Linked DNA regions of Arabidopsis thaliana. The protein of the gene in region 1 interacts with the protein of each later gene in a pairwise test. Each region holds a gene or a part of one and is shown on either strand. Other genes may lie near its edges.

The links. The genes of interacting proteins can lie anywhere in the genome.
Region 2: the proteins of SK3 (region 1) and AT3G58930 interact in a two-hybrid assay, tested with the Arabidopsis thaliana proteins (2 studies listed by BioGRID).
Region 3: the proteins of SK3 (region 1) and AT4G10400 interact in a two-hybrid assay, tested with the Arabidopsis thaliana proteins (2 studies listed by BioGRID).

Annotation. Positions count from the first base shown.
Region 1 is NC_003071.7:10,948,181-10,951,160, forward strand, and holds SK3 (SKP1-like 3), read right to left. Parts: upstream 1,447-2,980; 5' UTR 1,372-1,446; coding exon 1,054-1,371; intron 908-1,053; coding exon 734-907; 3' UTR 567-733; downstream 1-566. UniProt on the Arabidopsis thaliana protein: Involved in ubiquitination and subsequent proteasomal degradation of target proteins. Together with CUL1, RBX1 and a F-box protein, it forms a SCF E3 ubiquitin ligase complex. The functional specificity of this complex depends on the type of F-box protein.
Region 2 is NC_003074.8:21,777,614-21,782,267, forward strand, and holds AT3G58930 (F-box/RNI-like superfamily protein), read right to left. Parts: upstream 3,051-4,654; 5' UTR 2,633-3,050; exon of another isoform or gene 2,402-2,632; coding exon 1,436-2,401; intron 1,351-1,435; coding exon 1,210-1,350; intron 1,110-1,209; coding exon 768-1,109; 3' UTR 561-767; downstream 1-560. Other genes in the region: AT3G58920 (F-box/RNI-like superfamily protein), read left to right, coding at 61-375; AT3G58940 (F-box/RNI-like superfamily protein), read right to left, coding at 3,389-3,874, 3,958-4,314, 4,407-4,547, 4,636-4,654.
Region 3 is NC_003075.7:6,445,556-6,449,671, forward strand, and holds AT4G10400 (F-box/RNI-like/FBD-like domains-containing protein), read right to left. Parts: upstream 2,582-4,116; 5' UTR 2,517-2,581; intron 2,468-2,516; exon of another isoform or gene 2,427-2,467; 5' UTR 2,277-2,426; exon of another isoform or gene 2,194-2,276; 5' UTR 2,161-2,193; coding exon 1,336-2,160; intron 1,253-1,335; coding exon 1,115-1,252; intron 1,047-1,114; coding exon 780-1,046; 3' UTR 561-779; downstream 1-560. Other genes in the region: AT4G10410 (Leucine-rich repeat (LRR) family protein), read right to left, coding at 3,428-3,589, 3,664-3,869, 4,020-4,116.

The DNA of each region.
Region 1 (2,980 bases):
AACTCTTCTTACCTTTGTATTGGTAACAACAGAGTTTAGTGTCTTTCTTACCAAACATTGACCGTTCTCATCTGAGATATACAAGCATATACAGCAAAACATATTAGTTGGTATAAGCAGAATCATCTGAATTATGCCAATCATGTACGAGTTTGATCAATGTATAAGGAAAGCTTATTTTTAATTTCACTATCACCAAAACAAAACCATTTTTATATTGGTTCGAATGATGCAAAAGGTCCTTTCTTCCTTTCTGTAACCAATTTAGTTATACATACCAATCATTTTATAAGGAAATTCAAAAAATCTATATCTTAAGCAGATAAGAAAGGAAGATAAGCTCTTACCATTGGATTTCAGAAATTGAGACTATTTCAGATCCGACCATGTTCATCTGGCCTCATATCGTCTATGGCTCGGGCAAACATGTTATTGTATCATAAAATAAACGTGGCAAATTGGATATATAAATACATCATAATTATATAGCTTATATAGATAGACGTATTATTATCTCTTTTCTGTTTTTTTTGTCTGTGAAATCGTTTGATTGATAATGCATATTACTTTGTGATTTTATGTATATAAAGTTTAGCCGGGATTGAATGAAGAAAATGTGAAACACTTCTGGGAGTTTTGTGACAAAAGAGATTGGAAGCAAAAAGAAATTCAGGCAAAATAAATTTCTCTTATTTTATTTGTTGATATCAAATGTTCTTAAATTCTTTTCCAATCACTCGAACGCCCACCTGTTCTCATTGCGAACCTCGGCCTCTTCCTCAGGTGTGTAGTCGTTCTTGATGTTGAAGTGTTCACGCATCTGCGCTGGAGTTTTGCCTCTCATCTGATCAGCCACGGCCTTGCACGTAAGGTCAAGAAGTCCACTGATGTTCAAATAGTTGGCAGCCTTTATAAACCAAGACGATTAGTCTCCAAATCAAAACACAACATTCAATAATATAAATAAAACCCTAACATAGTCATGGAAAAAATATAAAAAACCCTAATTCTAAAAACATAAAACCAAAAAACAAAGAAAAAGACATTACTAACCCGAAGGAGATCGAAGAGAGTAGGATGATCAACTTTGACGAAATCGTTGTCCCAAGTCTTGAGCTCGTGGTTCTCGGTGGAACCATAGAAATCCTTGTCTCCACCAGCCTCAGCAGCGGCTTCAACGTGTTTCTTGCAGTACTCGATAACCTTCGCGAGGATGGCTCCGGTGACATTGGGAAGTGGAATTCCGTTATCGACGCAGTCGTCCTCGATCATGTGCTTAATCGTCTGGGACTCGACCGCGACGGCTTCCTCGACCTCGAAGGATTCACCGTCGGAGCTCTTGAGGATGATCATCTTCTTCGTTTCTGCCATCGTTTGCAACAAGGACAAAGGACTAGACAAGTTTTGAAGAGAATCGGCTCTGCGATTGATTGTGAATTGTGTGATGGTCTCAAGGTTTGGGAAGTTGGTGCCCTATTTATAGATCTATGTAAAAACAATTTCTTACTTGGTAATTAAAGTCGGTTGATTGCTTTTATGTTAATCTAATCCTTTTAATAATAGGAAAACAATAAAAGGGAAACAAATATTGGAATTTTAAGTAACAAAATCTTTATTATTTTTTTCTTTTAAAGAGAAATATTTTTACTTTTCCAAAAGCTCAACCTTAGTAATAATATTTACTTTCCAGATTTACCCGTATCTGATTTCAGAAAATACAGTTAATCATCTACTACGTGTGAAAAAATCATTGACTAGGGTCTTATGTTTTAATAAAAGTAAACCTCCACGTTCACATAGATTATGAATTAATTATTATTTGTGTATTTTGTAGTGAATATCAATGAAAATGTAAAAATTGGTAACCAACACCACAATTTTTTTAATAAATTATTATTTACTGGGTAAAACTACGTTACACTAAACAAACTGAAATTAACGAACATTCATGGGTTTTGGTTTTTAAAATTGTTGGAGAAAAATATGATTATAGTTTTAGTTAATTTTTATGTTCATTTTGTGTGTGAATTAGATACTGTTCTTTTCTCCATTCAGATGATCTTTTAAATTATTATAAACGAACGTCAATATTTATCTTCATTTAGATGAATCATCGAATGGAAAAACGAACAGTACTTTAAAAGATTAGCGAGAAGGATCAGTTGGATGGTTTTTAATAAACTCATTTAAAAAAGGAACAGAACAGCAGTTAACGGAAGCTGATTTAATCCAAAATACGAAATGTCATAAAATACACCTACCTAAAAAGAATTCCAGCAAAACCTAAACCTATTTCTCCTTCATTCCTCGACATTCACTTCGCCGGACCTCTTCACTGGATCTCTCACTAGAATTCACTCCTATCTCTTGCCGTAATCCACTATTCTTTGCCGGATTTCTCGTGCGTTCTCTCTCTCTCACTCACTCTCTCCTTCTATCTCTCTGTTTCATGGATTTGATTTCACTATTTCTCACTCTCCCCTTCTACCTCTCTATCTCTTGCAGTAAGACTCACGGGTTTGATTTGTCCTTGAGTCATTAGATGGATTCGATTATTTATTTTAGCTCGTTTTGGACAAAGTAAGATTCATGGGTTTTGTATTGAGTTTATGATGCTTATAAGCTATAATTTTCATGGGTTTTTGTATTTGTCGAGATTCATGGGTATGAGCTGATTCATGAGTTTTGTATCTATTGTGTATTTAGAAACTGATATGCTTTAGAATTGTGTGTCAGTTTAGGGTATAATTTAGGTCAGTTTATCACTGTCAATAACCATCTTTCAGTTATATCAATGCTGTATTTTCATCTAGTTCAGTATTAGATTGTTTGATGAAAAGTAACAAAGTATCAATATGTCATTACTAAATCAGGATTTATATGCTAACAGAGTTAAGCTTAGATTTGGGAATTAACAATAAGCTGCATCGGTAGACATAAGTCAGAGAATTTTGTTATACTTTTAATGTCAACAATTTTG
Region 2 (4,654 bases), on another chromosome or scaffold:
TTTCCAAAAGTCCTTGTATACTCCTAAATGTTTAATTTCTTATTCTCTCGATTGCGTCAGGGTCCATTGCATTTGTACTACAGAGACTTCAATGATGATGAAGAAGAAGAAGAACCTGAATATTATTGCGAGTGCTCGTCGGGATGTAATTGTCTATTGTCATGTCATATGGAAGTCCTGGAGATCTCCCATTACAGAGGAACTACCAAAGAACTGGAGAAACTGAAGCATTTCTTAGGGAAGTTGTCATGTCTTGAGCATGTGAAACTTGGTGTTTGGGCAAGTAGCGACAAGGAAAAGTTGAGTATCACCACTGATCTACTAATGCTTCCTAGAGCTTCGGTCAATTGTAAGATCCAGATCAACTTTTCTTAAAACTACTACCAAATAATTGCTTTTAAACACTCTGCTTTATTACTTTGTTTCATCTCTTGTTATCTGAGTCTGATCTTATCTTCTTTCTAAGACTTGTTTTGACTTTGATATATTCACCAGTGATGGGTTTTCTTATGAACGTACTCCAATGTAGAGTCTGAGAAGTTCAATGCAAGGAAAATGGTGACGAATTATAATAGCCTTCAGGATTTTCTTTTACAAAACCATAAAAACTGCCCAAGGAAAATGCATTTCAATTTTTTAACCAAAGAAACTACTCTGTTTTGGGTCAACTATGGAAACATGCCTTCGACACCTTTTAGTTTGCACAAGTAAATCAAAGGAAACATGGCATTAGAAAAATCATGAACACGTTTTCATACTCGTAGACTTCATTGTGTAGTCCATTTCCTACGCATGTAACCCCACACCAGGAAGTAAACATCACAATTCGATATCTCATTGTAGAGCTTCAATATCTTCTCAACATACTCAAACGCTCCAGGATTTTCAAAGTTTGTAGGACCCTCTTCTTCAGGAAATATCCCCATCTCCTTTAAACACTTAAAAGACCTCAAGAAGTGCCCTATCATGTTTATCTCTCTCATCGTTCCTCTAAACCCTTGAATCTCTACCTTCTTCACGGGACAAGAAGCAAGCGATCGACCTTTGTCTTCCCGAGAAATGCAGTCACAAGCATCCCCGCATTTATCTGTCACATTGTGTAAGAGACCCTGAAATCATAAAGAATACGATAAGATTACCGAGTATATTGAGTCTGACCAACATCTTTAACAAATGTTTTGTCAAGTAGTTCCATGGTTTGTAATTAACCTCAATGATTAGATATTCTAGATGCGGACAGTTTCTCAGAAGAGCTGGCACTGCTTGCCAACCGCGACCCTCTTCACTCTTAATACCTAAGGTTTTGAGGTTGTTGAACACCGGCATTGATTCACAGCATAGAGAAAGTACCTGAAAACAAGAATTAAAAACCAACTACATACTTTGCAACTAATCTTTCTCAAATAGACCAGAGAGAACGAAATAGAGAACTGACCTCAAGAGTATCAGCAGTTAAGTAAAGTATCTGAATATTTTGGATGCCGTTCATGAGCTTCACCACATTGCCAAATTGGAGAACAACATTACCCGCATCATCCTGTAACAAGTCATTATTTGGCTCTCTTACCCGCTTGATCTGATCATCTTTTACTATAAGGTTGATTCGAGCCTCAAGTAACTTTCCCATATTAACTAATGGATAATCCTCGGCAACTAAATCAGAGTAGTTTAAGTAAAGAAGACTTGGAGTATCAAAAGAAATGCTCTTTGGATTCACATAGTCTTCACAACCGGTGCCAAGGATACTTAGCTTCCTGAGGCTTGCACTTGACACGGTTTCGTGTGATTCCTTCCACTCCATACTAGCCATTCGTAATTCCTCAAGCACAGGGAAAGAAGAAAGAAACCTTTTCATCTTACCCCAAAGAATCAAGTCCGAGTCAATATAAAGACTTTTAAGCATTGGTAAGGAAGTGCCTCCCTTTCCACACCACCAATCCACACAACGATCATTTCTTATTTTCAGCTTGACCAATGTCTTACTGACGAACATCTCTTGAGGTAGCATATCCTCATCCTCTTGGGTATCCTCATAGGAAAAATCAATGAAAAGATCAAGATCGGAAACACCACGCTGCAGCACATTACATATCCAACGATTCACATGATCTGGATGAATACCAGTTATACACTTGAGAGAGAATCTATCAATGGGAGAATCATCCTGCAAAGCCAAAACTCTGTCCACGAAATCAACGAAGCTCTGTCGAATTTCAAGCCTTTCCGCTTTACCCTCTTCCGGGTGAAGAAATTCAGAGTCATCAATGTCGAGAATAGGGATAAGTTTCCAGAGATTGAGCCAGCTCTTTGAGAGAACCGAAGTCAAAGCAATGTGCTTGGCGGGAAGGAAGGACAAGATATGACCACGAACCCCGTCTGGTAGATTGCTGACACGATCCATCTTGCGTACACGAGATTAAGAGTACGTTATTACGGCTACAGGTAAAACATGAAAGTTGACAACTTTTCCCCAAAAGATGAGAGAGTAGAAACGGGAACAGAGAAAACCCTAATTCACAATTCACACGAAAATATGAATTCACACGAAAATATGAATTCACACAAAGAAAACTTTGAATCAAGAAACAGAATCAGTGGAAGCAGAGGAGATAGGTAAAACTTGAGCATTTACCTCGCTACGAATGGCTTAATCGAAGATCAAAATTTTGGAGAATGCGTCCAGTGATAAGAGTGAGAGTTGGGAGTGCTAGGTCACTGGTTTCTATCGTAGAGGAGAAGAAAAGTCACAGACTTTCAGTTCGACAATACATGCAAATGCATCAGAGTAGCCGAAACATCCAACTTTAAGAAGAAGAAGACAGCAGACAAACGAAATTGAGGGTTTTTAAAACCAAGTGTGGATGTTGTTGGTTCTACTTTAATCACCGGTTTAATTCGGTAAACAAACCGGAATTGTTTGACTTTGGGTTACGGAGGTGAGGCCCAACGCCCAGTTGCAAAATTGATTAGGATTATAAACAGAGAAGCATCGTGATGAGCTGATGATGCTATTGAATTTTGGATGTCTCAGCTTCTTAAACTGAAAGTTTGCTTTTTATCGGGAAGAAAAAAGAACTGAAAGCTTAAGTTGGTTTGGTTAATGCGAACCGGACAATTCAAATCAAATAACTTTATATGCAGTCGAACATAATTACTTGTACCCGCAAAAATGATATAAGATACCTTCAAAGGAGTATAAAATCAGCAGAGACAGAAGAGAACAGTTAGCTTCCGCACCTACCGTGTACAGATGCAACGTCGAGAGAGTAGGGAAGATATGAAGATCCAAATTTACAAGCTGCTTCGCTTCAGGATTTTGAACTGGAATTCCAACTAAATAAACACAAACCGAACCAAATTGGAAAGCATTAAGAAAACAATCACAGATCTATTCTCCTTCTCGTGGGGGAAAATATGTTGCCGTAGCTTGGCCGAGCTCGGTCATCTCCTGATTACTGGATGTCTCAGCACGCTCTGAGTCGGTTGCACGCAGAGCTCTAACTGCCGATGCTAGCATTGGGTTCTGCTCGACAATGATATCGAACAGAGCATCATAGTCCCGCTCCTTCTCGGTCATCTCCTGACCACTCGACGCCTTTTCTCGCTCTGAGTTAGTTGCCTCTCTAGCCCTCAACGCTGAGGCTATAATTGGGTTCTGGTCAACAATCATATCTAACATAGCCCGTAGCCTCTCCTTAAGATCCGCAAGCTTGGCTTCCTGGTCTCGTTGCCTCTCCTTAAGATCCGCAACTTCAAGTTGCATCTGAAGGTAGTCTTGAGACATCTCTTGTGGCGGAGGAGGAGGTACCGTGGAAGAAGCTCTACGCATGAAGAAGAACATATCGTAGATACGCTCTTTATTGCGGGGAGCCAACTGTAAAAGAAAAGAAAAGACAGTTAGTTTATTCAAAGCTGTCATGAATTTATGTGATTGAAAACGGTGATCAAATAGTGTACCTCATAGTACATCTCATCCATCTGGGTCTGGGACCAACCCCCAGATTGTGCCGAACTCTGCCAATGTCCAACTATCTCTGTCGAGACCACATCGTGGAGCCTATACGCGACAACTTTTAAAATTCTAGGCACTTCAAAGTTTGTAGAATCATTCTCTTCGGCATCTATCTCCATCTCATCCAAACACGGGAAATACTCCAAGAAATGCCTTATCATCTCTTTCTCTCGAATTGTTCCACGAAACCCTCTAACCTCTAACTTCTTCACTGGACAAGATATGAGCGAACGACCTTTGTCTTCCCGCGAAATGCAGTCACAAGCATCCCCGCATTTATCTGTCACAGAGTGTAAGAGACCCTGAAAGCATAAAGAAGACAATAAGACGATTGAGTCTAACCAACAACTTTAACAAATGTGTTGTCCGAGTAGTTTTATGGTCTGTAATTGACCTCAATGATTAGAAATTCTAGATGTGGACAGTTTCTCAGAAGAGCTGGCACTGCCTGCCAACCGCGACCCTCATCACTTTTAAGTCCTAAGGTTTTGAGGTTGTTGAACACAGGCATTGATTCACAGCACATAGTAAGAACCTGAAAACAAGAAAAAAAAAACCCGAATGAGGTACTTTGCAATTGATCTTTCAAAAATGGACCAGAGAGAACATAATAGAAAACTGACCTCAAGAGTATCTTCAGTT
Region 3 (4,116 bases), on another chromosome or scaffold:
AATAGAAGATAGTCTTCATTTGCTAAAAGCAAAGAACGAAACATACCGAAATAGATCTGTTTTGGAGAAGTAAGAATCAACAGCATATAGAATAGATAAGCGAGAGAGAGAAAGAGATATGAGGTTGGGTAAGTATAGAACCTAAGATCCACATTTAGCATGACACTATACTCTTAGAAACACACCATTTTCAAGACTAAGTTATGTACTTATTTCCTATTGACTTTCATTAAACTACACATGTGCTTGGTGAGCATATGATTCTAATTTCAACTTATATGTTTGCTCTTTTTGAACTACTTCCAAGACTACACAAATAATGAAATAAAGAACTAGTTGAGGAAAATATTATAGATAAATACTTAAGCTTGGGTGGAACTGGCAAGGAACTTCTGCAATGACACATTGTATGATTCAATTTGTATCATACAGCCTTAGAACCTTACAAGTTACAAGCATCAAATAAGTTGACCTTAACTTGTCGAATTTGAGAACGAATAGTGTATAAGAAGTGCAAAGAGACGTATGGTCCAAAACAGAACTAGTACTCTTTTCTTGTTCACAAAGCATCTCCATTATACTATCGGTATACAACTTCGCTCTGGTGTATCTCCATTATACGTAAACAAGTTTTTTTTTTTATGACAGACTAAACCATACGAGCAAGAGAGTAGAAGAACAAGAAATTCGTTATAGGATCTTTGTTGGACAGTCAGACGAGTTTAGATAGGAATTACAATCCTATTATATAAATGTAGACATCTTAGAATCTCAAATCCTCAAGAAAAGTTGAGTTCGCATGTTGATGAAGCTTGGGAAGAAAGTCTCAACTCCGTTATCATCTCGAGTTTTGTAAACAAACGTGTATCAGATTTGATTGTTGCAGTCCTTAAGCGGCAAGCGTTTTTCAAGATGTAAACCGCAATATCTCTGTCTTGTGGTCTTCCTAAGTATTTAAACCAAGTGAATTTTTGTAGACTCGACAACATGCATTCAGGAACAATACTCGGTTGATTCCAGGAAAGCATACCAAGATTCTCATGATCCTGAGATCAAGCAGAAGAATTAGTTTTTAAAGAACAAAATAATGTAATAGTTAATGGAAGAAACTTACATCCGTTTCGGAGACGAGCATTAGTTCTCGTAAGTTAGGAGAGTTTTTGAGGAACCAGACGAGGAGATTCGAAGAATACTTGTTCCATAGCGTTAGTTCCTCAAGGTGGTTGAAGATAAAACCTTCACCGTAACCAACCTGCGGACGATAAAGAAAAGTATTAACAGAGAGTTTTTAAAATGAGATTAAGGACAAGCAGTGGATGGATTGAAATTGATTACCTCAGAGGATATTGCAAGCCGCTTGACAGATGTGATTGATCCGATGAGACTCTTGATATCAGCGAATGGAACATTGATATATGCTTCCCTCAGCTTAGGCATATTCTCAATCAAAAAGGTGTGACTATTATCATTACGATCCACAAGTTGGAAAGACAGTAAAGAAGGAGTATCTATGACAAACTCACGACTAGAAGGTGTAGAGAGTGATAAACGTTGCAAAGATGGGACAATAACAGTAAGCTTTCCCATATTGTCATGATGAGATAGATTCACTACTAGATCTTCAAGAACAGGGCAATTACATAGAAGCCGCTGAAGAGATCCTTGCTTGAAGTATCTCACACCTTTCAGTTCCAAAGTTTTCAAAGAGGGAAGACAAACCATTCGAGGAACATCCAAGAGAACCCCGCCATCGAGTTTCAAGATCACGAGCGATTTGCAGGTATATAAGCTACTTGGCAATATGTTTTGCTTCTCCCCATAGTGAGAACTATAAATCTTCAGCTCACGTATGTAGCGAGAAACTGCTACTACAACCCACATTCTGATATCCTCAGGTTTAAAATGCGAATCACTTAACACAAGACGGAAACTTTCTATAACGGGAGCTCTATGTAATGGCAGATTCCTATCAAGAAAACACTGTAACCTCTTGAATTCAGACTCTGAATAACGTTTACTACCAAACTTAAGTTTAGTCAACCACATCCAAAGAAACTCCCATCGTTTCGACAAAATGCTCGTTGACACAGCAACTTTAGTCGGAACAAACGACAGTATCTTAACCAGTACTTCATCAGGTAACCCACTGATTCTGTCCATAGTCTTACAACAACCAAGAAAATGTCACCGACCCTGAAAAAGAATACACAATAAAGACTCAAAGGATTTGTCTCAAGCATACCAAACAAGTGAAAACAGAAGAACAAGAGACAAACCCTAGAAAGAAGCTCTGGTTTGTTAGGTGATGAGTCTTGTCCAGTGAAATTCAGTGGAGGCTCGATTTATTTGTACCGGAACCGGAATCAGAAGGTTAATCAAAAGCGCCTGAAGAACTCTGCGGAAGCATTTCTGGAAACTCTACAACTCTGAAATCGAGAAAAGGAGAAAATAGAAGAAGGAATCAGAATTTGTAGCGACACTACACTTAACTACTGGCTTTAGGGATTCATTGATACCTATATGGGCCTAGAGAAGTGTTTGATACGTAAGTGGGTTGGGCCTCTTTTTCAAGAATCCTACAAAGGAATCTTTGGTAATAATAATGGCTATCATTTTGATGCCTGGCACAACGAGGCAGTAGCTATCAGCTCCATACTTTGTAAATTCATGCTAGTTAACCAGGTAAGTGTCAATATTTCAGAATCTTTTTTCACGATTGACTTTAGGTCTGAGCGTGGTATACTGATACGGTGTATTTGGCTTTGGAAGAGACTGTGAGAAAAGATAAATGAGATTTTGGAACCTCTGCAATATATCTTTGACACATTGTATGATACAATTTGTATCATAGAGCCTTAGACCCTCACAAGTTCTAAGAATCAAATAAGATTAACATTATGTTGTCAAACTTAGGTCTAAGCAACAAGATTGTATATCTCCTAGTTATAAACTAGTCTTAAAGTTTTCAGAGATGGAAGAGAAACCACTGCAAGTAGGTAAGACATTCATTACCTGATCTTTGTTGGGCAATCAGACGAGTCTAGATGGAACTTATAGAATCCTATTATATAAATGAAAACATTTAATGATTCAAAACCTCAATAAAAGATAAGCTCGCATGTTGTTGAAGCTCGGGAAGAACGTGTCAACTCCGTTATCATCTCGAGTTTTGTAAACAAACGTGTATCAGAATCGATTGTTGCAGTGCTTAAGCGACAAGCGTTTTTCAAGATGTAAACCGCAATATCTGTGTCTTCTGGTCTTCCTAAATATTCTGTCCAGGTGAACTTTTGTAGACTCGACAACATGCATTCAGGAACAGTACTCGGTTGATCCCATAAAAACAGACCAAAATTCTGATGATGATCCTGAAGTCAAGCAGAAGAATTAGATTTGAACAACAAAATAATGTACAAAAGAAAACAAGTTAAACGAAGGAACTTACATTCATTTCAGAGAGGCAGCTTAGTTCACGTAAGTTAGGAGAGTCTTTGAGGACCTGGACAAGGACATTCCACGGATAATCATCCCATACAGGTAGCGTCAGATGCTCAAGGTGGTTGAAAATAAAACCGTCACCAAACATAGCCTGCGAACGAATAAAAAAAAAGTATAAACAGAGAATTTAAAGAGCAAGATCAAAGATAGATTGAAACTGATTACCTTAGAGGATATTGTTAGATACTTGACAGAAGTGATTGATCCGATGAGACTCTGAAGATCAGTGGATCTAACATCGACGTATGCTACCGTTAGCTTAGGCATATTCTCGATCAAACATGGGTGACTATCATAATTACGATCCTCAAGTTTGAAATACTCTAAAGAAGGAGTATCTATGACAAACTCATCTACATCACAAGTATAACCTATATAGAGTGACAAACGATGCAAAGATGGGACAATAATAGTCAACTTTAGAGTATTGTCATGATGATATAAATTCACAACTAGATCTTCAAGAACAGGGCAATTAGATAGAAGCCGCTGAAGAGATGCGTCACTGAAGACTCTCACACCTTTAAGTTCCAAAGTTCTCAGAGAGGGAAGACAAACCATCGGAGGAACATCCAAGATAATCCCACCATCGAGTTTCAAGATCACGAGAGACTTGCA